3 linked regions of the Pelodiscus sinensis genome follow. The protein of the gene in region 3 interacts with the protein of the main gene of each other region in a biochemical or structural test. Links are inferred from orthologs where the notes say so. Each region holds a gene or a part of one and is shown on either strand. Other genes may lie near its edges. The genes, in order: TOPBP1, HUS1 and RHNO1.

Region 1 (7,175 bases), on a different chromosome or scaffold from region 3:
AAGCCAAAGGAGGATGGCAGTACTCAGGTGAGCACCAAAGAGACTGGAAGCTAGGAACATAGGACACCTTTTACAAAAATGAGCTTGTTGGCATTGCATGTACAGATTGCACAGCATATTATAAAAGTAGGGGCTTGCCTTGCTATTGCTGATAAAGTATTTTCTCACAGCTGAACTGTCTGGCTACTGCCATCCAACCAACTGTAACAATTCAGAGGTGCTTTAGATAGTTCATGAAGCATGAAGGAGCCCTAATAAACCATACAAATGCAACACATCATCTACTCCAGCAATTCTCAAACTATTAATTGTGACCCAAAGTGGGTTGTGACTATTTTAATGGATCTGCCAGAGGCTGTTATTAGGCTTACCTGTGGCCCATGGCTGGATTCCAAGTCTCAGTATCTGAGGCCAAAGCCCAAGGGGTTCAGCACTGTGTGCAGGGTGCCTCAAATTACAGGCCACCTGCTGGGTACTGAAGCCTTTGTGGCTATGCATTACCCTCCTTACATAACACCCATGGGGCTCTAGCATTGCCTCCCTCCTCCCCACCGTACCCACCCTATGGCAGAAGGACTCATGTACTGCCCCCCCCTTCCTGTGGTTGTGTAGCAAGGTTTATTGTCATGAGGGCATCTCAATCAGTGTTGCCTCTAATTTTTCCATCTTTAGGCAGAATTTTGTTATACTTATCAATATGGAGGTGGGCTGTGTCTAGACTGGCCACTTTTTCCGTAAAAGCAGTTACTTTTCCGGAAAAACTTACCAGCTGTCTACACTGGCCGCTTGAATTTCCGCAAAAGCACTGACAATCTCATGTAAGATTGTCAATGCTTTTGCTGGAACTACTATGCTGCTCCCATTCGGGCTAAAGTCTTTTTCTGAAAAACTTTTGCGCAAAAAGGCCAGTGTAGACAGCAGAGATTTGTTTTCCGCAAAAAAGCCCTGATTGCGAAAATGGCGATCAGGGTTTTTTTTGCAGAAAAGCGTGTCTAGATTGGCCACGGATGCTTTTCCACAAAAAAGTGCTCTGTTCCGAAAATGCTTTTAACGGAAAACTTTTCCGTTAAAAGCATTTCCGGAAAATCATGCCAGTCTAGACGTAGCCGTGATGTTTTATCCATCAACTTTATATTGGTGCACATAACAAAATTCATGTGGTGGTGGATGGGGATAAAGGTTCATTGTACGGGAGGGGACTCAGCTGTGGGACAGAGGATTGGGGTGAAAGGCTCTGGCTGGGGGTGCAGGATCTGGGGTGGGGCCAGGAATGAGCAGTATAGGGCTGGGATAAAGGGTTGGGGTGCAAAGGTGTAAGGACTCCAGACAGGCATACAGGCTAGGGGTGGATAGGGACTAAGTGGCTAGTGGAGTCACTACTCGATTACTTGCTTCTCCCTCCCCTTGCTGACTCTCTATCAGAGGCAAGGGCGGGGGGAGGGGGGGCGGAAGCAGGAGCCAGTGCTGGGGGGAATCAGCTTAAAAGCCAGTTCTCCACAGCATTGCCTCCACAATGTAAGGTGGAGGAAAGGGGAGGCAAAGGCGCAGCGGTCCAGGATCCAGTACAAGCTAGGACTGCTGAGTCCCAGCTCGCACCAGGTCCTGGACCTACTCCTGCTGCAGCTCTGCTTTTTAAATGCAATAGGAACTGCCCTTATCAACTAATCGCTCAATACAAATTGTATAGAGTACATAATTAGTCAATTATCTGCCTCTTAACATTCTTTGAATTGGGACAAGGTTCAGTGGGGCTACGTCTACATTGGCATGATCTTGTGCAAATACTCTTTAACAAAAGAGTTCTTGTGTTAAAGTATTTGCGCAAGAGAGCGTTTACTCTGGCATGTGCCTTTGCACAAGAGCATCCGTGCCAATGTAGATGCTCTCTTGCGCAAGAAAGCTCCGATGGCCTGTCTGCACTGGCCTCTTGCGCAAGAACAGTTGTGCAAGAGGGCTTATTCCTGAGCAGGAGCATCATAGTTCTTGCGCAAGAAGCACTGATTTCACACATTAGAATGTCAGTGTACTTGTGCAAGAACTCACCACTAGGGTAGAAAGGCAGCATGTTTCTGCGCAAAAGCAGCCGCTTTGGCACAAGATAGCGCCAATGTAGACACAGCCTAGGAGTTTGGGGTGAAGGACCATTCTCCAAGGCTATGTCTACACAGGCAGCTTCTTGCGCAAGAAAACATCCACACTGCCATGTGCGTGGTGTGCTTTTGCACAAGAGCTCCCATGGTAGTGTGGACGCTCTCTTGCACAAGAAAGCTCTGAGGGCCATTTTAGCCATAGGGCTTTCTTGTGCAAGAAATCCCTGCCGAGCATCCACACTGTCCTCTTGCGCAAGAGCTCCTGCGCAAGAGGGTTTACACCTGTTAAAAAAAGAGCCTAACTCTTGCGCAAGGAACCCTCTCTTACCACGCCATACTGTAAATTTCCTTGCCCAAGATCGGGTGGGCAGTGTGGACACTCTGCAAATTCTTGCGCAAGAATGGCCGTACTTGCGCGAGAAGCCGCGAGCGTAGACCTAACCTAAGGTTACTGCAAGGAGAGAGGACACTCCCAGCTCTCTCGCCTTACAGAAGCACCTGGACTGGGGAAACAGCCTGTCTCCCCAAAGTAGTAGCTCTAGGCCCATGGTCACCAACAGGTCGATTGCAATTGACCAGTCAATCGTGAGGCATCCTGTCCGCCCCACCCCCATTTCCCTCCTACCCCCGAAAAGCCCCACTACCTATCTCAAGTGAAAATGGAGGTAGTGTCGGCTTCCCGACTTTGGCTTTTTGCGGAAAAGTGTCCATGGCCAATCTAGACACGGTTTCCCACAAAAAAACCCTGATCGCCATTTTCGCGATCGGGGCTTTTTTGCGGAAAACAGTACTGTGCTGTCTACACTGGCCCTTTTGCACAAAAGTCTTTCGGAAAACTTTTGCCCGAACGGGAGCAGCATAGTATTTCCGGAAAAGCACTGATGATCTTACATGAGATCATCAGTGCTTTTCCGGAAATTCAAGCGGCCAGTGTAGACAGCTGGCAACTTTTTCCGCAAAATCATGCGATTTTGCAGAAAAACTTGCCAGTCTAGACACAGCCAAAATGTATAATTATAAATGCTTCATTTTAGATTTAAATAGCATGAATAAAAAACAGACCATTTATTTCATAACTATAAATACATTATTTTAATTTTATATATCACATAATTTAAAAATAAACTGTTTATCAGAGCGTGTAAGTAAGGGCTGAGGATAGCAAGTGATGGACAGGAGGAGAATAGAGAGGGTGGGGCTTCAAGGAAGGGGCGGGGCAGTAGATCTTCACCTGTTCTGAGATTTAAAAAGTGATCTTGGGTGTAAAAAGGTTGGAGACCACTGCTCTAGACCATGGCAAGTTTGGGGTTGGGGACAGGCTGCTGCCCCAGGATCAGGTCCAGGGTTGGGCCACCCCGGGGGGCAGAGTCAGGCCGGGCCACCCCACCTGACAGGGCCAGGCTGGTGCCAGGTGACCCTGGCTGCAGCAAGTTGAGGGTGGGCTGGGGAGGAATTGAGTTGGCCCTCCTGTGGCTGCCACAGCTTCCCACCACGTGTGGTCTCCTGAAAGAGCGGCAGGGCTCTAAACACCTGGCCGCAGCGCTTACAGGGGAACCTGGCTCTCACCGCACTTACGTTTGGAAGCCCTGGTGTAGCTGCAGCGCCCTCTGCTGGGGAGGGAAACGAGGACCGGACGCTGCATCTCCGCGGGGACTGGAACCAGCGCAGACCCCGCCCCCACATTCACCCAGGGCGGGGCTCAGGAGAGTCGCCTTGTAGCGCCCAGGCTGCCCAGTTCACCCCCCCGCCGCACAAGAGCCCGCGCGCTGTGTCGGGCCAGGGCCACTAAGGAAAGACCCGCGCGCTAGCGGCAGAGTGAGGGCGGGGTGAGCCCCCCCCCCCCCGCCACCTCCAGTCCCAAGGGGCGTGCGGCAGCCGGGGGGAGGGGGGCACCGTCAGGCGTTGACACGCGCACGCGCCCCCCCCAAGCGGCCCCTACAGCCCCTGGCGCTGCCCAGGGCGGGGCGGGCGCAGAACGCGCAGGGACGCAGCGTCGCGCGGCTGAGTCAGGCGCAAGTTGGTGACGCCGGCGGCGGAAGAAGACCAAGCAGCCAACAGCAGAACTGCCGTTGCCGGATCCACTTAGAACGCGCCGCTCGCAGCGCCTTTAAGAGGTGGGCCGGGCCTCCCGTCTTGGTCACGTGACAGAGATGAGCCCGCGCCTGCGCAGTGTGGGTCTGGTGGTCTTCCCGCCAATCTTGGGTTCCCTGTGGGAGCGAGGCCGCAGCATCCGTAACCTCGCCCCGCGCTGACCCCTCCGGGCTCCCCTAGGCTGGGGGGGAGCAAACCCGGCCGACTCGGCTCCTTCCACGGGCAGGGCTGGTGAGGGGGTCCCTGAGCAGCGGGAGGACGCGGCGCAGCCCGGCGGGAGGGGCCGAGGTGACAGATCCGCGACGGCGCGAGTGGCTGTTGCCCGCGCGGGTGGGGGGGGGCTCGTGACGGTGACGCGCGGGGAGAGGCGCGCGACTCCCCAGGTCCCTGCGGCGCCCCCGCCCCCCGGCTGTGGTGAGGGGTGGAGCCGGCGGGGCAAGCGGCGTTGGCCGCTGGGGCGGGGGGAGGCGGCGGCGGCGGGCGGGGTGTTCCTGGTTGGGCGGGGGAGCCCCGTGTCAGACCGATAAGGGAGACCCCGGGAACGTGCAGCCCGGGCTTGCCGCTGAGCAGAGCTGCCTACGGAGCCGTGAGTCTCAGCCTGTTCCCCCGCGCTCTTGTGCAAGGCGCGGTGCTTAGCAGCGCCCCCGCTAATCTTTTCCACCCGAGTGCGGATTTTTTTCCCCCATCCATGTGTGGAATAAATGTTTTATGTGCACCGAGACACGTGCCAATGTGTCCACTAGTAGAAACAAAAACCTGGCTGTTGGCGCCCTGCTGCAGGCTGGTATTTGAAGCTCTCCTGAGCAGCCACCTAAGCACCAAATTTTCAAGAAACACTTGTGTCCTTCCTTATAGGTCCAGCAAATTCTCCAGGTAGTAAAGGGTTGGAGGAGTAAGTCAAGAGGTTACCTAATCTTCACCCCTGCTCTATTTCTGCATCAGAGAGAGTGATCTCTGAGATGTGTTGAGCATCTACATACTGCAGCAGCGGTTCTCAAACTGTGGGTTGGGACTTTGTTTTAATGGGGTTGCTAGGGCTGGCATTAGACTTGCTGGGGACAGAGGCCAACACCCAACCCCTGTCTCCCATGTGCAGTGTCATGACCCAGGGTTTCAGCCTTAGATAGTGGAGTTCAGATGACAGGCCTCCTACCTATGTTTCAGCATTGTCCCCCCTCGCCCCCACACTCTCCCCCGTGGCAGTGGGGCTCAGACTTTGCCTTTGCTCCTCTCCTTCCCAGCCTAGGGCAGCAGGGTTTGGAGCAGGCTCGGTCTTCTCGGGTCAGGTAGTAATGTTTGTAAAAAGGGGTCATGGTGCAATGAAGTGTGATAACCTATGTACAACAGTTATAAGGGGCAATATATGAGCAAATTAGTAGCACTGACATTTACAGGGAATAGATTTTTAATGCTTGGATACATTTGTTCAAGAAATTCAGAAAAAAAACAATTTATGTGGAAAAATAAGTTAGGAACATCTCGTTAATACAAGTCTTGAATACATAACAGTTATTATGAAAAATAATACTTCAAAGCTTATTTTGCTTCATCCATTTGTTAAAGGATGAAAAGTGACAAGGAGCCATTTTTTGTTAAATTTATAAAGTCTTCTGGCAACTCTGAATATTTTTTTAAAGCTCTTGAGGTAAGAACTTTTGGTACCACTGTTAGCTGTTTTCCTGAATTTACTTTTCTTTCTAATTACTTTCATATTTAGTTTTACTATATTTATCTGTAAATAACTGCATTGTTTCTCTCAGATGCAATATTAGATATTAATTTAGATAATACAGTTGCCTTGTTTAACTTTCTACAGCAAGGATCAATATTTTCTGTTATGTACTTCAGTTTTTTTTTTTTTTTACTAATTACAGTGGATTAGTTCCACTTAATACAGTGAAAAAGTCATATGGTGAAATCATTGTTTTGAAACCAGTTCTCTAAGGAGCTGTGTGCCTCTGGAAAGGTGCTGAAGCACTCAGTACTTTGGTCCTAGTACTGGAGACAGTCACTGCCTGGCATGGCCCTTACTACTGTGAGATGTATTTTGAAATAATTTGAAGATCGATTCAAATTAAAATCCGGTGTAATCTGTTAACTGGTTAAATGTTACATTTCCCTGATTAACAGGGATCTTGTGAGCTGGCATGCCCCTCTTCTTCGCCCACAGCCTGGCGGGCCTGGCCAGGCTAGAGTGCCCCCAGCTCATGGCATGGCACAGTGGAACCAGCAGGGCTGGAGCAGGCCTCTGCCTATATTGGGTGGGGGCTACTTCCACTTAGCCAGGCTGCTGCTGATGTTAACTGGTGACATCCGTAACTTAATTAAGAACCTTGACTTCCTCCAGGAACAAATTGTCCTGCAAGATTTGAATTAACTTATTGAATGCTGTGCTTTGATAGCTAGTATTTGAATGATTGGGATCAGTGATTGTAGAAGGCATTCAGCAGGTCCCAGAACAGAATGAGGTGCAATCTTGAGGGTTCAGGTCCCTCTTCCGTGCTAGTACTGAAGAGGGTGCTAAGTCATTTCTCCCCTGAGAAGTCAGTGGGAATTAGAAGGTTCTCATCATCTTGCAAGATAATGTCCAATACATGAAAATGTGTACCCTGTACATTGCAGTGGATTGAAATAATATTATATTTTTGTTTAGTTGCACTGCAAGTAGATTCTTCTGTAGTAATTTTGCTGTAAGTAATTTCAACTGTATATGTTTTGCAATTGCCATAGGTAGATTTATCTTAACTGTTTTATCTTTGAATTTAAGTTAAGTATATTGTTCCATGTTTTCTTGCAGTCCATAAAAGAATTTCAATCCGAAGAATATCTTCAGATTGTTGAAGAAGCACCAGCACTCAATATAAAAGAAAATGACAAATCCCTTTACATCTGTGACCCTTTTAGTGGCATTGTTTTTAGTCATCTCAAAAAGGTTTGCTACGTACTATATTACTTACAAGTGGCCTATTTCTTTCTAAGGAATGATTATATCTA
Region 2 (7,739 bases), on a different chromosome or scaffold from region 3:
CTTACCTAATAGTAACTGGCAGATTTAATCTCCATGAATTCATCAAATTCATTTTTGAACCCAGTTAGGGCCTTTACAGCATCCCATGGCAACGTTTCACAGGTTTCCTGTGAGTTGTGTGAAAAGTACTTCCTTATGTTTGTTTTAAAACTGCTGCCTATTCATGCCCTTGGGTGACCCTTGGTTTTTGTGTTATGTGAAAGGGTCAATAACACTTCCCTAATCACTTTACCCACAACGTTCTCCCTCCTCCTCCACCCTTAGTTGCCTCTTTTCTAAAATGTAACAGTCCCAATCTATTTAAGCTCCCCTCATCCAGAAGCTGTTCCATATTCCTCATCATCTCTGTTGCCTTTCTCTGCACTTTTTCCAATTCTGGGGCAATCAGAACTACATGCAGTAATCAAGATACAGACCCTACCATAACAAAAGACAGGACTATGCAGCACTTTAAAGACTAACAGGATGGTTTATTAGGTGATGAGCTTTCATGGGCCAGACCCACTGGCCCATGATATTTTGGTCTTGTTATCCTTCCCTTTGCTAATGGTTCTGCACGTTCTGCTTTTTTGATTGCTTATGAAATACATTATTACAAAAGTCTATACACCATTGTAGTCCCGCATAGAGTTTTAGAACAGCCACCTTAATATTAAAGACATTGAGAGATGTTTCATATACTATTAATTATGCAATAACAGCCTATTTCTTTGGCACATACCTGATTTAACTCACACCACATGCTGACCCCTCCATTTGCCACTTTATCAGAAAGGATGAAGTAAAGTTTGTCCACTGCAAGGCGTAGAGTGCATGTCTTGGCTAATTTGGCAATTGTGTTAATCACACCTATGGGATAACGTTTCATTAAATTAATTCCTAACACTTCTAGCATAGGCCAAAAAAGGGTTGCTTGCAATTTATGGTTTGCAGTTCAGTAGGAAAGAACATTATTAAAATAAATCTATGGAAAGTGGCAGCCCAAAACTTCTATATTTTGCTAAATTATCTTTTGGTTCTTTTCCCCCCCACACCCGTTCCCTCCACACTTTATTTTGTTTTGAGAGTAAAGGGAGATGAGGTAATATTTCTTATCAACTTCTTTTGATGAAAGAGACAAGCTTTTGAGACACATAAGAGCTCTGTGCAGGGCCAGATTAAGACCTTTAGAGGCCCCAAGCACTGAAAAGATTATGGTACCACCCCCCATATGTAATTCAAAATAAAAACAATACTATACTGTAAAATCTCAGGGTTTTTTTGGTTCCCCTACTTTGCTGGTGCCCTAAGCATGTGCTTAGTCTGCCTATTGGGTAATCCAGCCCTGGCTCTGTGGTTCAACAGTGTGTCTCTCTCATGAACAGAAGATGGTCCCATAAAAATATTACCTTACCTGACTTGTCTTGCTAATATACTGGGACTAAAAAGCTACAACTACACTGCACATAATTTTATTTTGTCACCTATCTCCTATCCCAACATCTAAACTATGAGGGTATGTCTACACTGCAACACTATTCCGAAATAACGTAGTCTGTATCTACACAGCAGTTATTTCAAAATAGTGTCAAAATACTGTCAATCTGGAGGACTTCTTACTCTGATTCCTGTAACCCTCCTATAAGAGGAGTAAGGGAAGTCAGAGGAAGAGTGGTCTATTTTGAAATAAGTGCTGTGTAGACACTCCCTAAGAAATCTGTGGTAGGAGCTATCTTCTTTATTTTTGTCTCTATACTGCTTTGCAAGATGCCCATTTGTTTTGGGTTCATAGGTGCTACCATTACAAACAGTAAACAAACACACAAACAAAAATGGAAGATTACAAAGAAAATCATTGGAACATAGGAACATGCTGTAGACTCATGGTCTGTCTACTGTATGATAGCCTACCTCCAGAAGTGAGCAAACACCTTGGAATATAGCAATCCCTTCTTCCCTCCCCATACTCAGAAATCCCCAGAATTCCTCACTGACATAATTCAGTTTTGGAGCATCACACTGGGCGCACAGGTTTGTTTTGCAACTTAGAAACTGCTAATGTGAAATTAAAAGGCGTATTAAAACTTGACTGATTTTTTTTCACATTGCAAGCTATAAATCTTTGTGAACACCATCATAAAGAAAAAAGTAAATACATGGATTTACTGGAAAACACTTTTGCTTAACAGAAAAACTATGGCGTTTGATCTGGATGTTATTCAGTCTGTGGCATCTCGTTATCTGGTCTGATCTACACAAGGAAAGGGACTGTCTTCTCAAACAGGTTTAAAAACTGACCTTATCATACTTTCTAGAGATACTCTCTATAATAAAATATATCAAGCCTGGGGAAGAACTAAGATGATTTCGGATCTGCAAAGAGCAGAGGCCATTTTCACAATTTTAAAATTTGCATTTTATTTATGTATAATTGAGCCTATTGGTTACAGTGCAACATGCCCTGAAAATATCCCAGATGGACAGATAGTCCCAGATCTGCCACTGAGGTGTTCTGAGAACTTCGGCAAGCAGTTGCACACATTTCTGTGCCTCGGTCTTCCCATTTGTTAAACTAAACAATGGCTTTTGGGAAACGATGTGCTGTGCAAGGGCCAAATGTGACACTGGTCTGTCAGCAGGCTTGGAAACTTCTCTCCCAAGCCAGCTAGCGACTGCGGATGTAGCTGCTTTACGTACAAAGCATTCTATGGCCAAGGACAGCAGCAGCCAGCAAGTCGAGGCTCATCAAGGGTCTGGTGCTTGCAAAGCAGCCCCGATTTACCCTGCCCGCGAGGATGCATCGCTCCCTGCGGTACAGGAAGAAGCCAGGGGACCCAACTGCACATTTCACCGAGACTTAAACACGCAGTGGGGGATGCGGGTTTTGAATCCCCCATTCTCCCAGCCCCGCCACAAACAGGCTCCCTGCCCGGAGCTCCCGCTGGCCCAGACACCCAGCCCGGCCCGCTCACGGGTGAAGTGGTTCAGGCAGGCGACGTCCACGATCTTGGCCCGAAACCGCATGGCTGCAGCCGCCCGGGCTGGAAGCAAAACAAACCCGCCCCGGCTGCGAGCCGCTCCGGGAAGCCCGGCCCCGAGCAAGCCAGTTCCGGTTCCCCTTCTCCCCTCCCCGCTGCCTCCTCTAACATGCGCCTGTGGCAGCCACGCGGTACGCGCCCGAGTCTCCCCGGCACTGGAGTCACTCCGGCGTCCCCCCGTGGTGGGGTCAGTAGAGCGCAGCTGGTGTAAAAGCGGCGCCGGTAGCAGCACAAAGGGGGTGTTTCAGAGAGCAATCACGCACACTCCGATGCACTCCTCTGCTGTATAGAGCTGGCAGTGATCCCTCTTCCCTTTCAAAAACAATGAAGAGCTAAAGGAAGTAGGGAAAAACTGGTACTACATATTAAGAGAGAGGGGAAAAACAACCTCTACCCATATAAAAAGGCAGGAGTTGGGAAAGCCCCACATAAGATTAGAACTGGCCCAAATATGAAAGGAAATAAGCATAAATTAAACAAAAGGGAAAATAGGTAACAGTTAAAAAAATGGAGGCTATACTTATGCTTGACTCTGCATTCTGTACACCAGTTTTACGCCGTTGTGAGTGTAATCACGAATTTACATTGGTATAAACTAGTGTGGCCATGTGGGGAACCAGGCCTAGAGAAAAAGGGAACAATAAACTGGGTATTTTTAAGAAAAGTTGCCTTGAAGGATAGGGAAAGCTAAATTATGTAATGTGAACACTAGATGGGGCTGGAGAGCTAGCTCACTCTTGGTTACAGTCTGATGGCAACCAGGAATGGTGAGTGGGCAGCATAAATGGCTTTCCTTCACCGCAGTGGGCCCCAGCAGCCTGTGGTCCACCTAGGTTCCACTTGTGGTCCCATGACCCACCTGTTTAGCTCTCCTCCCGCACACACCGTGGCACTGGAGATGCACACTTACCTGTTCCTTCCACTCTCCCAGCATTTTTGGAGTGATTTGCAGTGTTCCACCTCTGGGAAGGTGGGAGGAAGGGGAAGGAAGTGCAGGGCTCCAGTGCTCTGGTGTGTGAGAGGTGCATGGGGGTATATGAAACAATATGGTTTTTCAGTAGCCATTCTTGAAGGCCTGTAGAATATTGGAAGGTCTAACGTCTTCCTCTGCAGCCCGATTGAAAAGCAGCAGCCATTATCTGTAAAGTTTGGAGTCACATACTCACCTAAATTGCATTAGTGTCATACCAGGCTCTTAAGGAGATTCCATCTTAAGGGCACCCACTATCACCAGATAAAGAATCAGATCTCAAGATGGGTAAAGAAACAGCATTTCATCTGGCATTTCATCTGGCACACAGTAGTCGAGGTTGTGGAATCCTCATTCTATTATTATGGTCCTCACTCTCATACTGTTTCTCTGTATGATCTCTGTCTGGTTTTTAATTATTTCTGTCTGCTGTATAATTAATTGTGCTAGGTTTAAATCAATTGAAGTGGCAGAGTATGATTGGCTAGCTAATTCTGTTACAGTATGTTACAATTAATAAAATTTCAGTAAAATAATTGTTTACAAATAGTTAAGCAGGATTCAAGTTTCACTGTATAAACTGGAGTTCAAGAAGACCAGCAGGAAAGGGAAAAGGAAGAAAAGAAAAAGGAAAGACCTGGAAGAAGAACAAGTCACCTCCAAGACACAGCCCAAGACCAGAGCTGCTAGGATTCCTCTGCACCACCATGACAGGCCGTGCAACAACCAGGATCTACAGAAGACTGACCTTGCCTGGCCAACAGGGAAAGTTTGTCTGACTTTATCAGGATTGGTGAGCCTGGCACTGTATGCTTAGCATGTGTATTCTGCTTGCTTGGCAATTTTCAAAAAATAACAAGTGAGGATATTACTGTGTAAGGCTCTTTCAGTCGTAAAAGATCCTGCAAACTCGTGGGAAGTTACGCCCTAAGAATTGGATAAGTGTGAGCATTTAAATTAACAGGGTTACACCTTGAGCCCTAGGAATTGGGTAAAGTTGTGTGTCCCTAACATGTGGGAGTGACAGAGAAGTCTGTGCAGGTAACAGGGGAGAGAGGCAGCAGAGGGTCTGTGGGCTGCAGGTTGCCCGCAATCCTGATAAAAACAGGAAAACTTCTCCTGTTGGCCATGCAAGGTCAAGCTCATCTGGATCCTGGTTGTTGCACTGCACATCATAGTTGTGCAGAGTCCTGGCAGTCCTCATCTTAGGCTGTGTCTTGGAGGTGAGTTGTTCTTCTTCCAGGTCTTCCTTCTTCTTTCTGTTTCTTTCTTCCTTTTCCCTTTCCCGTGGGTCACAGGTTGCCCACCAGTCTCTGCATAATAATAATAAAAAACCAGCATTAGAGTACAAAAGGGATTATGCTGAGCTGACTCTTGGAATCATGCTTAAAGGCACAGGATCCAAGCTTGCTGCTGTTGAAAATGCTGTTATTATGTATTTGTATTCATTGTATGTAGGAATCCTAGTCATGGACTATGATTCCATTGTGGTAAGTGTTACACACAGAACAGTAAGACAGTCCTTACCTCAAGGAGCTTATCAGGGGTCTTGTATTCTCTTCCTCCCTATAGCTATCTGGGAAGGTGGTTCAGAGTGTAAAGAGGATGCCATGTAACAGGTGAAATAATTATAACACCAAGATAGAAGGAGAGAGAAAAAATCCTTCACCCTATAAGTTGGGTGGAGGAAGAGCTGTGGAATTTTACATGATAAACAATGACAATAGTGTGAATTTTCCAGCAGTAGGATCTTCAAGTAGCATAATTAAGCAACTCACCTCATGTGGAAACTCTCTATATCAGTTTTACATCATACATCAGAGGAGGCAGAGCCATGAGGCTTTAATAGCCATTCTTCTAGACACAATATATAACACTTGTCAGAAATGACAATGAGTTGCATGCTTGTGCTTAAATCACGTGGGCAAATGCTTTGTAGAACATACTGAGACAAACTCTGTTATAAATCAACGCATCTCAGGCCAAATCCAGGCTCCAACCCTGAGTCCTCTCTGGAGTTCCCATCCATGTAACACTAATCAGATCCCAAGTATCTTCCTTAGCAGCAGCCAGAGATCAATTTGCCACCAATGCCCACTCTCTGGGGTAGACTCCATGGTTCTCCCCCACTGCATTATCATTAGGGATGTTAAAATGCATTTATATTTGTAAATGTGTAACTGCTGAAATTTTCAGCAGTTACATGCAGAGGATGGTGGGATAGGCGGCAATCAATGCTCATAAGAGGCAGCAGCATCGGGGGTGGGCAAGCGGCTCCACAGGAGTCGGCATGCGCTGCTGCCTCTGATACAGAGACAGTAGCGCGGGGGCGGGCAGTCAAGCTGGCTTCCACCTGCTCTCCCCCAGCTGCTGCCTCTGTGGGTTACAGGTGGCTCCACAAAAGCTGGTACCCTTCCCCATGCGCACTGACCCCCATCTCTCTCCCCCATCCCATGCTGTTGCCTCTATATAGAGGCAGTCGGTGGGTCAGGGAGGCTGCATGTTACTGTGAAGGTTAACCGATGAGCCCAGGCTCATCAGTTAACCATGTACACGGGTACACACTGACATCCCTAATTACTATAAAAGATAGTGAGTGATACCACTGCAATGGGTGTAATATAAGAACGGCAATAATTGCCCCTGATGAAGTTGTGTTCTCCCCATATGAATGAGTTAGAGGAACCATGAAGGGTCTGGATACTCTAAAGAAACAAGCTAGCTCAGATCTCTTAAAATGGAACTGTCAGAGAGACAGGAACATCAAAGCTCAAAACTCCCTCTTCCCCCAAAGTCATTGGACTGTTCTAAATTTGCATAGGGATGCAGAGCCTCACAGCAGCTTTCACAGGATTAATGAAGAGCAAAAGTGTGCTTCAAGTCTATCTACACATGCCCTGTAACTAGTGCTGTATGCAAGTCCTTTGACTAAAACTGATTTTCTCCTTATTTTTTATTCTTTTTTTAAAAAGAATTTTGCATTTATATGTAGTATTATCTTCCAGTGCTATCGTTCTTTATTATTTTATCTTTTGTGATTCTATTAAAATATTTTAATGATTGTAACGTATATTAAAATAAATTCTTTCTTACGTTTTGTTTGGTTAATGCTGCTTACATTGGTTTAATATTGTATTTCTGTATTTAATTATGAAAAATGAAAACAATTAAACAAGAGACATGATAAATAGGAGGCAAAATGCCTGCAAAACCAACATCTATTTATTTTGTTTCTGTCAGCTGTTCTATGCACAACCCCATAGCTATTTTAGTAAAACAAGCTAGATGTAAATACGCCTTTAGTCTAAGAGCTGCAACACTCCAGGGATTAATAACTGAATCACGAGGGGGCCAATTCCATGATGTATTCAGTTTGCTCAACTCTTATTGAAGTAAATAAGAGCTGTGCTCTGCATTTTACAGGTTGGGGTTACAGTGATCTGAAAAACATTGCAGATGCTATTTGTATGCCATGGAAGCAATCTTTCTAACCACGGAGTCTGGTTGTTCAAATAGAGAAAAACGCAGTGTCATACATTCTTTCAAATTTGCAATACCTAACTTAGCCAAACTATCACAATGTTGTTTCATGGTCATTGGCTGCATTTTTGAGAACTGTCAGGGACTTTGGAAAACATTATACAGGAGTAACGCATATGGCAGATATATTAAAAAAAAAAAAAAAAGATTGGTACAGGTGCCTCCTTGAGCTTGTCATGAAACTAAGGGTACATCTATACTGCAGGGCTATT
Region 3 (6,940 bases):
TCTCTCAGGAACTGTTTTACTCATGGAGTTTAAAATGCTCTATTAAAAATACAAAAATAAATTTAAAATCAAACAGAGAAATCTAGATCTCTGGGGCTGGTGGAGTGTTTCATATGAGTTTTAAAGGGGTAGCCATGTTAGGCTGTATCTGCAAAAACAAGGTGGTGTCCTGTGGCACCTTACCAACAGATTTATTTGGGCATAAGCTTTCATGGGTAAAAACCACTTTGTCAGCTGCAAATGAACAAGATGCCCAAATAAATCTGTTAGCATTTAAGGTACCACAGGACTCCTCATTAAAGTTTGAAATCTTTTAGGGCTGCTTTGTTATAAAGCTTTGAGACCTAAGTGTTGTTATTTAACAGAGCTGCCTGGTAATGGCTTCTGCAAAGACAGGTAGCTCCTACAGAACAATTACAAGATTTTTTAAGCAAATGTGCATATCATAATAAAGTATCCTAGGACTGAGTGAAAAGAAACTTAGCAGTCCTCTCAACAAGATTTGAGTCTATTGGAAGAGTTGTGTTAGGAAAAGCAGAAGATTTAACACACACAAAAATGAAAAGGAGGGCAGGGTTAAAGTACATAGAAAACTGCTTCAAAAATCTGCTGCCTGGATATCTTCGCCATAGTGTCTGCTTGTAGCCTGCATTATCACCCTGCTTTCCAGAAGAGATGATCTATTTGCTGGTTTACTTCAGGCCCAACATTTTCTTTTGATTGAAACCAAGTAATATTACATTAACAATATGTAACAGAAAAACAAATAGTTGAGATTTGTTATCAATGAAAACATGTTTCTTTAAAGAGCTCATTGGGGTGTTGACAACTCCCCCCCCCACCACACACACAAAAAGAGCACTGACCTAAATGAAGTGTAACAGTAAAACTGACCAGCATTGTCCAATCAGGAATGAAATGCAAGACATCAATAAAGTACATGAGCAGTGAAAAGTGAACACAATTTTAAATTTTTTTAGAAAATACAACTCTCTCAGTAGTACCATTTTTCTTGCTGTTGATTCTTGGTTTGTAGTCTATGTAGTTCTGCTAAAGCCTCTGAAAACAAACACATCCACTCCTTAGGCTTGATCTTCCAACAGACTCCCACTGACCTCAGGCATATACTTGTTTGTTTCCAAGCAATACACTGGCTTTTTGAAACTGCATTTCTCACCAACAAGCTTAACTAAGGGAAGACACCTGCTCCTTATCACACTGCATCTGTGGAAGTAGGCCTCATCATTTTACATCAAGTATTCCACCTTTTAACTATATACATTACAAGATATAACATCCATTTTAACCCACATTTAACTCCATTGGGGGGTGACCATAGATAGGCAAACTTACAAAATTGAGATTATTAATACATGAATATTAAATAAGAGAACCACAATTAAGATGCAGACTCTATTTCTGTATCATAGTTGAGCAGGAAGTTGTCACATTTAAGTGCTGGAGAGTTGAGAGTTATACCAAACAGTTTGAAATAATTGCTGTAGTTTAAATATCAAATCCAATAAAGAGTAACTAAACAGTAACTATTCTACTATCCATTTCCAAGGTTTTCAGTTATCATAAAAGCCAAAAAGAATCCCCATCTCATATGGATCCCAACCTTTTCATGCCACCATGCTAGTTCCCAAGACAGGGAACTCTGCCAGTGGCCACCATTTCCCATTTAGATGTGAGTGCGCTAATTTAAAATACATCTCAGGCTGCTTGTGACTGCTAGATTGGGATCTGAAGCAACTGTAACACTGTAACCAGGCGGGGGGGGGGGGGGGAGTGTGTGTGTAATCCATGTCCAAGATCCACTCCAAACAATTCTTTATTAAGATATGCATAAGAAGGCTGAGAACACTTACTATAAGAAACTAAGGAAAACAAACCTGCACCTACCCATGAGACGGAAGCATTTTGGTCAAGAGGTTTGGTAGAAACACGTCTTGGGTTCTCAGCCAAAGGCAATGGAGATCCATAGTGATGTGTAGGCCCCTCTATTGGAGTTTCAAGGAATCGCAGTTGTGTCTTGTGAGCCTGGTGGATGCATTTCTTCTTTGGAGGCATCAAAAAGGGTAAGAAAGTCGCTATGAAACCTCATGATGCCTGGTGGAGCCAGTTAGGGAGAAGAGGAAAGAGATGACAAACTGTACCCAAATCTGCAGAAAGCAACAGAGGGATGTCAAGTCGTCAAACCTAGCAACTGTTTTTTCCTACATAGAACACACTTCTGATCTGCCTCCAAAAAAGTCTAATAAAAAATGGAAATATACATTTTTATATACATCCACTCAGCCATACTCCCATTAGGGACACAATCAGAGCTTTCTTGGTGTTACACAAGATATAGTCTGTAGTGGGTGCCTCTCCCCATGGTCTTGGGTTTTTGGGGTGTCCTCCCTATTGAGTATATCCAGTCATGTCTTGCTCCTGGGAAGATCCTCACTAAACGACATCAGCAAGGTGGAACTGACATAATGCTGCTCCACCATCCCTAGCCGTGGCCCTTTCCGGTTACCTAGTCCACACAGCCGCACCAGCTGGAGGGTGCAGACAGGGGAGGAGGAGGTAACGACCCTGCTAAGTTTGGGGTCCGCTGCTCTACTTATCTACAGGCGTGTACACACACATACGCGGTGCTCTCGCTATGCCCTACCCCAGGCATCCAGTAACTCCTGGGCACTTTTCTCTCGCGCACAGCCCGGCAGCTGAACGCACACGCCGCCCGCCCGGCTGCTCCGGGGCTGGCTGTCTCTCGCACACGGCGGCTACTCCGCCATCACTGGCTGGCCGGTTGCTCCAAGCTGCAGCGGCGGGGCGGGCGGCAGGCCCAGGAGCACAGAGCAGGTGCGGCGGGGAGGGCAGCGGCAAAGGCGCTCAGGGGCCACCGTTTGAGAGCGGGGGCAGAGCCCCGAGACAAACGCCGCCGCCGCCGCCTCCTACGGCCGCGCCCCCGCCCCCGCGGACGCTGCTCCGCGCAGGGAGCCGGGTGGGGGGGTTGAACCGGCCTCGGGTCTGATCCCAGCTCCTGCCAGGGGTCAGGCGTGTGCGAGCACCGCCGGGCGCGGGCGCTCATTGGCCACTTCCGTTGCCGGATGGAACGCTCTGGCCCCAGGCCTCATCTCCATTGGTCCCGCCCTCGCACGTGATGCCAACGGGCCGCCAGGCGCCAAATTCAAACCGGGAAACGAAACGAACTGCCTCTGTGCCCTGAGAGCTGCGGAGCCCGGCGGTGCCGGGTCCCCGCGGGGAGGCAGCGGGGCGCGCGACCCCCTGCCCCCACCGACACCGGGGTGAGAGCGGGCTGGGAGGGGCCTTGCTGCGGGAGCGGGGCCGGGGCGGGGAGACTGATAGGGGCCACTAGGAAGGGAAAGGGGGTCGGTGGGCACCGGCGGGCCATGGGGGGCAGGGCGAAGGGGTGAAAACACGGGCTGGGGGCTCTAGGAGCCGGAGAGCCTGTGGGGAGATGGATGGGGGAAGGGGCTGGGGCCAGGGGAAAGAGCAGGTGAGAATTCCCAGCGTGTGTGTGACAGCGCAGAGCTACCACCCGCAGCCAGGATGCAGCGAGGCCTTTGTCAGTGGCTGCAGGGCGTCCCGTGAAGCCGCCTCCTTCCAGAGGCCAGGGTTGGATGTGTCACTTGCCTCTATCACTTAGGAAGGGGGCTAGTTTATTTTTCTGTCAGTTTTGTTTGTACCCTTTTATGACCGTACAAATGACTAGGGTACTGCACGGATACAAAATACGGATCCATAGCTGTAAAAATGAGCAGCAGATATCCACAACCATATCTGTGGAAGCGGATATCCGAGGATAGAAAGCAGATATCTGTGGATTTGCAGGGCCCTACAAATTATCGGTTCTGAGGATGTTTTGTTACTAACAGGCTGGATTGGCTCTAAAGATGTAATAGTGTAGTCTATTAACCGATAAGCAAAAGCTTGTCTGTTAATGCTACAGACTACACGCATCCTCCCCCCCCCCTCCCCCACTCCCCAACACTTGCCAATAAATTTTTTAGCAGGCTGGCCAGTAGCCTACGTCCTGCCTTGTGCCAGATCAAGGATCTACCCCTGCTGTGGCTCTACATTTAAAGTGTATTAAGAGCCAAGTGGGCAGCTAACCTGGCTCAGTTCTGGTTCACGCCAGGTCCAGGAACTCGGACCCCTCTCCTTCCGGACAGGAGCTGCTGCCACCCAACGCTGTGGGGTGACAGGCAGCCAGTTTGTGAGGGGAGCTGTTTTTTAAACTGGCTCCCCTCACGGGCCAGCTCCTGCCTGGTACCCTACGCTGCTGTCTCTTATACACAGGCAGCAGCACAGAGTGTCAGGAGGTTCTTCTGGAGTAGGGCTGGAGCGCACTGGTTGCCAGCCCCACCCCTAGGGACTATAGAATAGTCAAGTAACCAATAAGAATTCATGAGGTTAATCGACTATTCAATTAACTGATATTTAATACCCCTAATCCGCTCCAATGATGTGAAATCCTCTCCATTTTGGTTAATTCTTAGTCTCCCATACGTTATCTGTATAATGCAAGCACTGTAGATCCACTGAAGATTTCTTGTGCAAGAGCAAAGTACCACTTGCCACAACTCCCATAAATGCAACAATTATCCTATCTCCACATCCCTATTTCTGGTTTTGTCATTGATTCCCCTAGTTCTAAACTTTAAAATTGTTTACCATCCATAAAGTCCAGATTAAGAAATTTATTCTGACATTAGATGATGGTGAATTGAGTTACACAGTGCTAAGAAAGGAAGTGCTTGGCTTCTAACAAATCTATTTCAAGCTCTGAGTTTATGGTGTTTCTATAAAACAAATATGATAACACTAACCTCACGGGTGTGATCTGAGATATTCAGTTATCATGCAATTAGTGCTCCTCATCTGTATGGAGTTTTCACAAGATGTGTATCAATAAATAAGGAGGAACCTTTCCCTTCAATGGATGTGGCATGCAATTCTTCCCTATGGGCATAGGGATTGTCCTCTAGTCACAAGACAGATGGTGAGGAATCTTCCTCTTTTAGGATTACCACTGTACCCCTCATACATCAGCTGATTTGGTACCTTGCATAGAGATAATTCATTCCATTCCTGTACGTTCCATGCTTACAGCTCCTCTTTCATGTTCTTATATTTTGCAGGGTCTGTTCTTGCAGTCTTCAATGGCGAGTGACTGTACAGATCAATCATGAGGACCAGCCCTCGCAGGCCTCTGATTCTCAAGAGACGAAAACTGTCCCTCCCAAATCGCAATTCATCCAACACCCCAGCGAGAGATGAACCAGATGGGCAAAGTAAAGGAGCCCCCAAGCATGAGCAGGTCAGAGAGGACAAATCCAGGGACAGAGTGGAGGGTAGCACCCAGAAATTCCCAGCAGGAATAAAGATCATTAATCACCCTACCATGACAAACACCCAGGTGGTAGTCATCCCTCCCGATGCTGACATTCAGAGTATCATCGAGGCTCTGACAGCCAAAGGGAAAGAATGTGGCAGCAATGGGCCCAACAAGTTCATTCTCATCAGCAGTGGGGGCAACTCACTCCCCACAGGCTCACCAGCAACTCAGCAGAAGCTCCAATCAAATGATGAGACAAGCACAGCAACAAAGGGAGCCACAGCAGCAGATTGTCAGGATGGAGAGAAGAACATTGGACAAAACCCTGGGATTATGGAAAGGCCGGTACTGTGGCATCCACAAGTCAATTCCATGGAAGGACAAGAACAGGAAGGAAACAGTACGTAGGCTGTACCCTTCTGTTGAACTCTTCAGCACAATGTGGAGTGGGTAGAGATGGGGGATTGATGCTCTGCTTGATATAGGAGAGCGCAGTGGTGAAAATGTGAAATTTCAAGCAACCCAGGTGATTAATATATTAGGTTTATATGTACGCTGATAGGTGTTCAAATCCTGAGTCCAAGTAAAAGTCAGTGATTTTAGGGCCTGGGGTTTTTCTGAGAGTTGGTAAGGTATGTTACAGGTCAGGATTTTGGTATACAGAAAGTCCCCAGCTTATGAAAGGGTTGTGTTTGAAAAGTTTGTAAGTTGGTTATTTGAAACTCAGAGTGCATTTTCCCACAGAAACAATATTCTGAATGGTGGTTAGGTGCCCAGGCTAGCCCACAAAAGCCTATGTGACCCATAATGTAGCTGAAATACTATAAATTTGCAATGAAAAATTATAGAAATAGTTTTTCATTTAACCTTGAATGCTGCTGCTTGAGGAAAGGAGGATGAGGAGTTAAGTGGAGATTTGAAAGGGAACTTCTGGGCATCCCTCAACTGTACTCCCTCCCCGGTCTCTGTGCTGGCTCCTGCAGCCATCCCCATCTGCCAGCTTTCTCTCCCCTCTCATGCTCAGTGCCTGCTCTGGCAGCCCCCATCCTCCCAGCCATTCCTCCCTTTCCTCCCCACCCCACTCCCCTACCCTCTGGGAGCTGCACCTAGCTCCCACTCACATGGAGGAGGAATGCGGAAGGAGAACTCCAGAGGAGTAAGTGCTGCTTCTCTTCAGTTGCCAGCTGCACAGTCACCCCCTATTCCTACAGAGTCCTCCGTCTAGCACTTGCGCTATTTGCTGCAACCTGTGCCTCCTGCCTGTTCCCTGAGGCTGCAGGTGCGTTTGTGTTTGCAAGTGCAGATTTTCTTAAGTCAGATATTTGTAACTTGGGAAGTGCCTATAGTGACAGAGTGGGAAGTGAGGGGGGGTCAGAACTACAAGAGAGAGGATTTTTCAGCCTGGGCCTAGAGATGTTAAAGGTTAACCAGTAAACATATACCTTACCAGCATGCTTATCTGTTGACCCCATAATGGGGGCCTGGCTGGAGGCGTGCAGGAGCAGCTGCCACAGCGAGCTGCCGGGTCCAGAGCAACCCGCACTGCCTGCAGTTAAATCATTTAACTGCTTAACTATTCTGGGCTGT

What was found.
Region 1: the proteins of RHNO1 (region 3) and TOPBP1 form a complex in vitro, tested with the Homo sapiens proteins (2 studies listed by BioGRID). The link is inferred for Pelodiscus sinensis from reciprocal best matches to the Homo sapiens genes RHNO1 and TOPBP1.
Region 2: the proteins of RHNO1 (region 3) and HUS1 form a complex in vitro, tested with the Homo sapiens proteins (2 studies listed by BioGRID). The link is inferred for Pelodiscus sinensis from reciprocal best matches to the Homo sapiens genes RHNO1 and HUS1.

What each region holds. Positions count from the first base shown.
Region 1 is NC_134712.1:179,227,234-179,234,408, forward strand, and holds the start of TOPBP1 (DNA topoisomerase 2-binding protein 1), read left to right. Parts: upstream 1-4,073; 5' UTR 4,074-4,204; intron 4,205-4,267; exon of another isoform or gene 4,268-4,469; intron 4,470-4,744; exon of another isoform or gene 4,745-4,767; intron 4,768-5,744; 5' UTR 5,745-5,745; coding exon 5,746-5,826; intron 5,827-6,978; coding exon 6,979-7,113; intron 7,114-7,175. UniProt on the Homo sapiens protein: Scaffold protein that acts as a key protein-protein adapter in DNA replication and DNA repair. Composed of multiple BRCT domains, which specifically recognize and bind phosphorylated proteins, bringing proteins together into functional combinations.
Region 2 is NC_134712.1:158,116,927-158,124,665, reverse strand, and holds the start of HUS1 (checkpoint protein HUS1), read right to left. Parts: upstream 3,107-7,739; 5' UTR 3,004-3,106; coding exon 2,952-3,003; intron 850-2,951; coding exon 722-849; intron 1-721. UniProt on the Homo sapiens protein: Component of the 9-1-1 cell-cycle checkpoint response complex that plays a major role in DNA repair. The 9-1-1 complex is recruited to DNA lesion upon damage by the RAD17-replication factor C (RFC) clamp loader complex.
Region 3 is NC_134711.1:125,751,669-125,758,608, reverse strand, and holds the start of RHNO1 (RAD9, HUS1, RAD1-interacting nuclear orphan protein 1), read right to left. Parts: upstream 3,038-6,940; 5' UTR 2,663-3,037; intron 2,166-2,662; exon of another isoform or gene 2,113-2,165; 5' UTR 2,074-2,112; coding exon 1,906-2,073; intron 1-1,905. Other genes in the region: FOXM1 (forkhead box protein M1), read left to right, coding at 5,204-5,753. UniProt on the Homo sapiens protein: Involved in microhomology-mediated end-joining (MMEJ) DNA repair by promoting recruitment of polymerase theta (POLQ) to DNA damage sites during mitosis.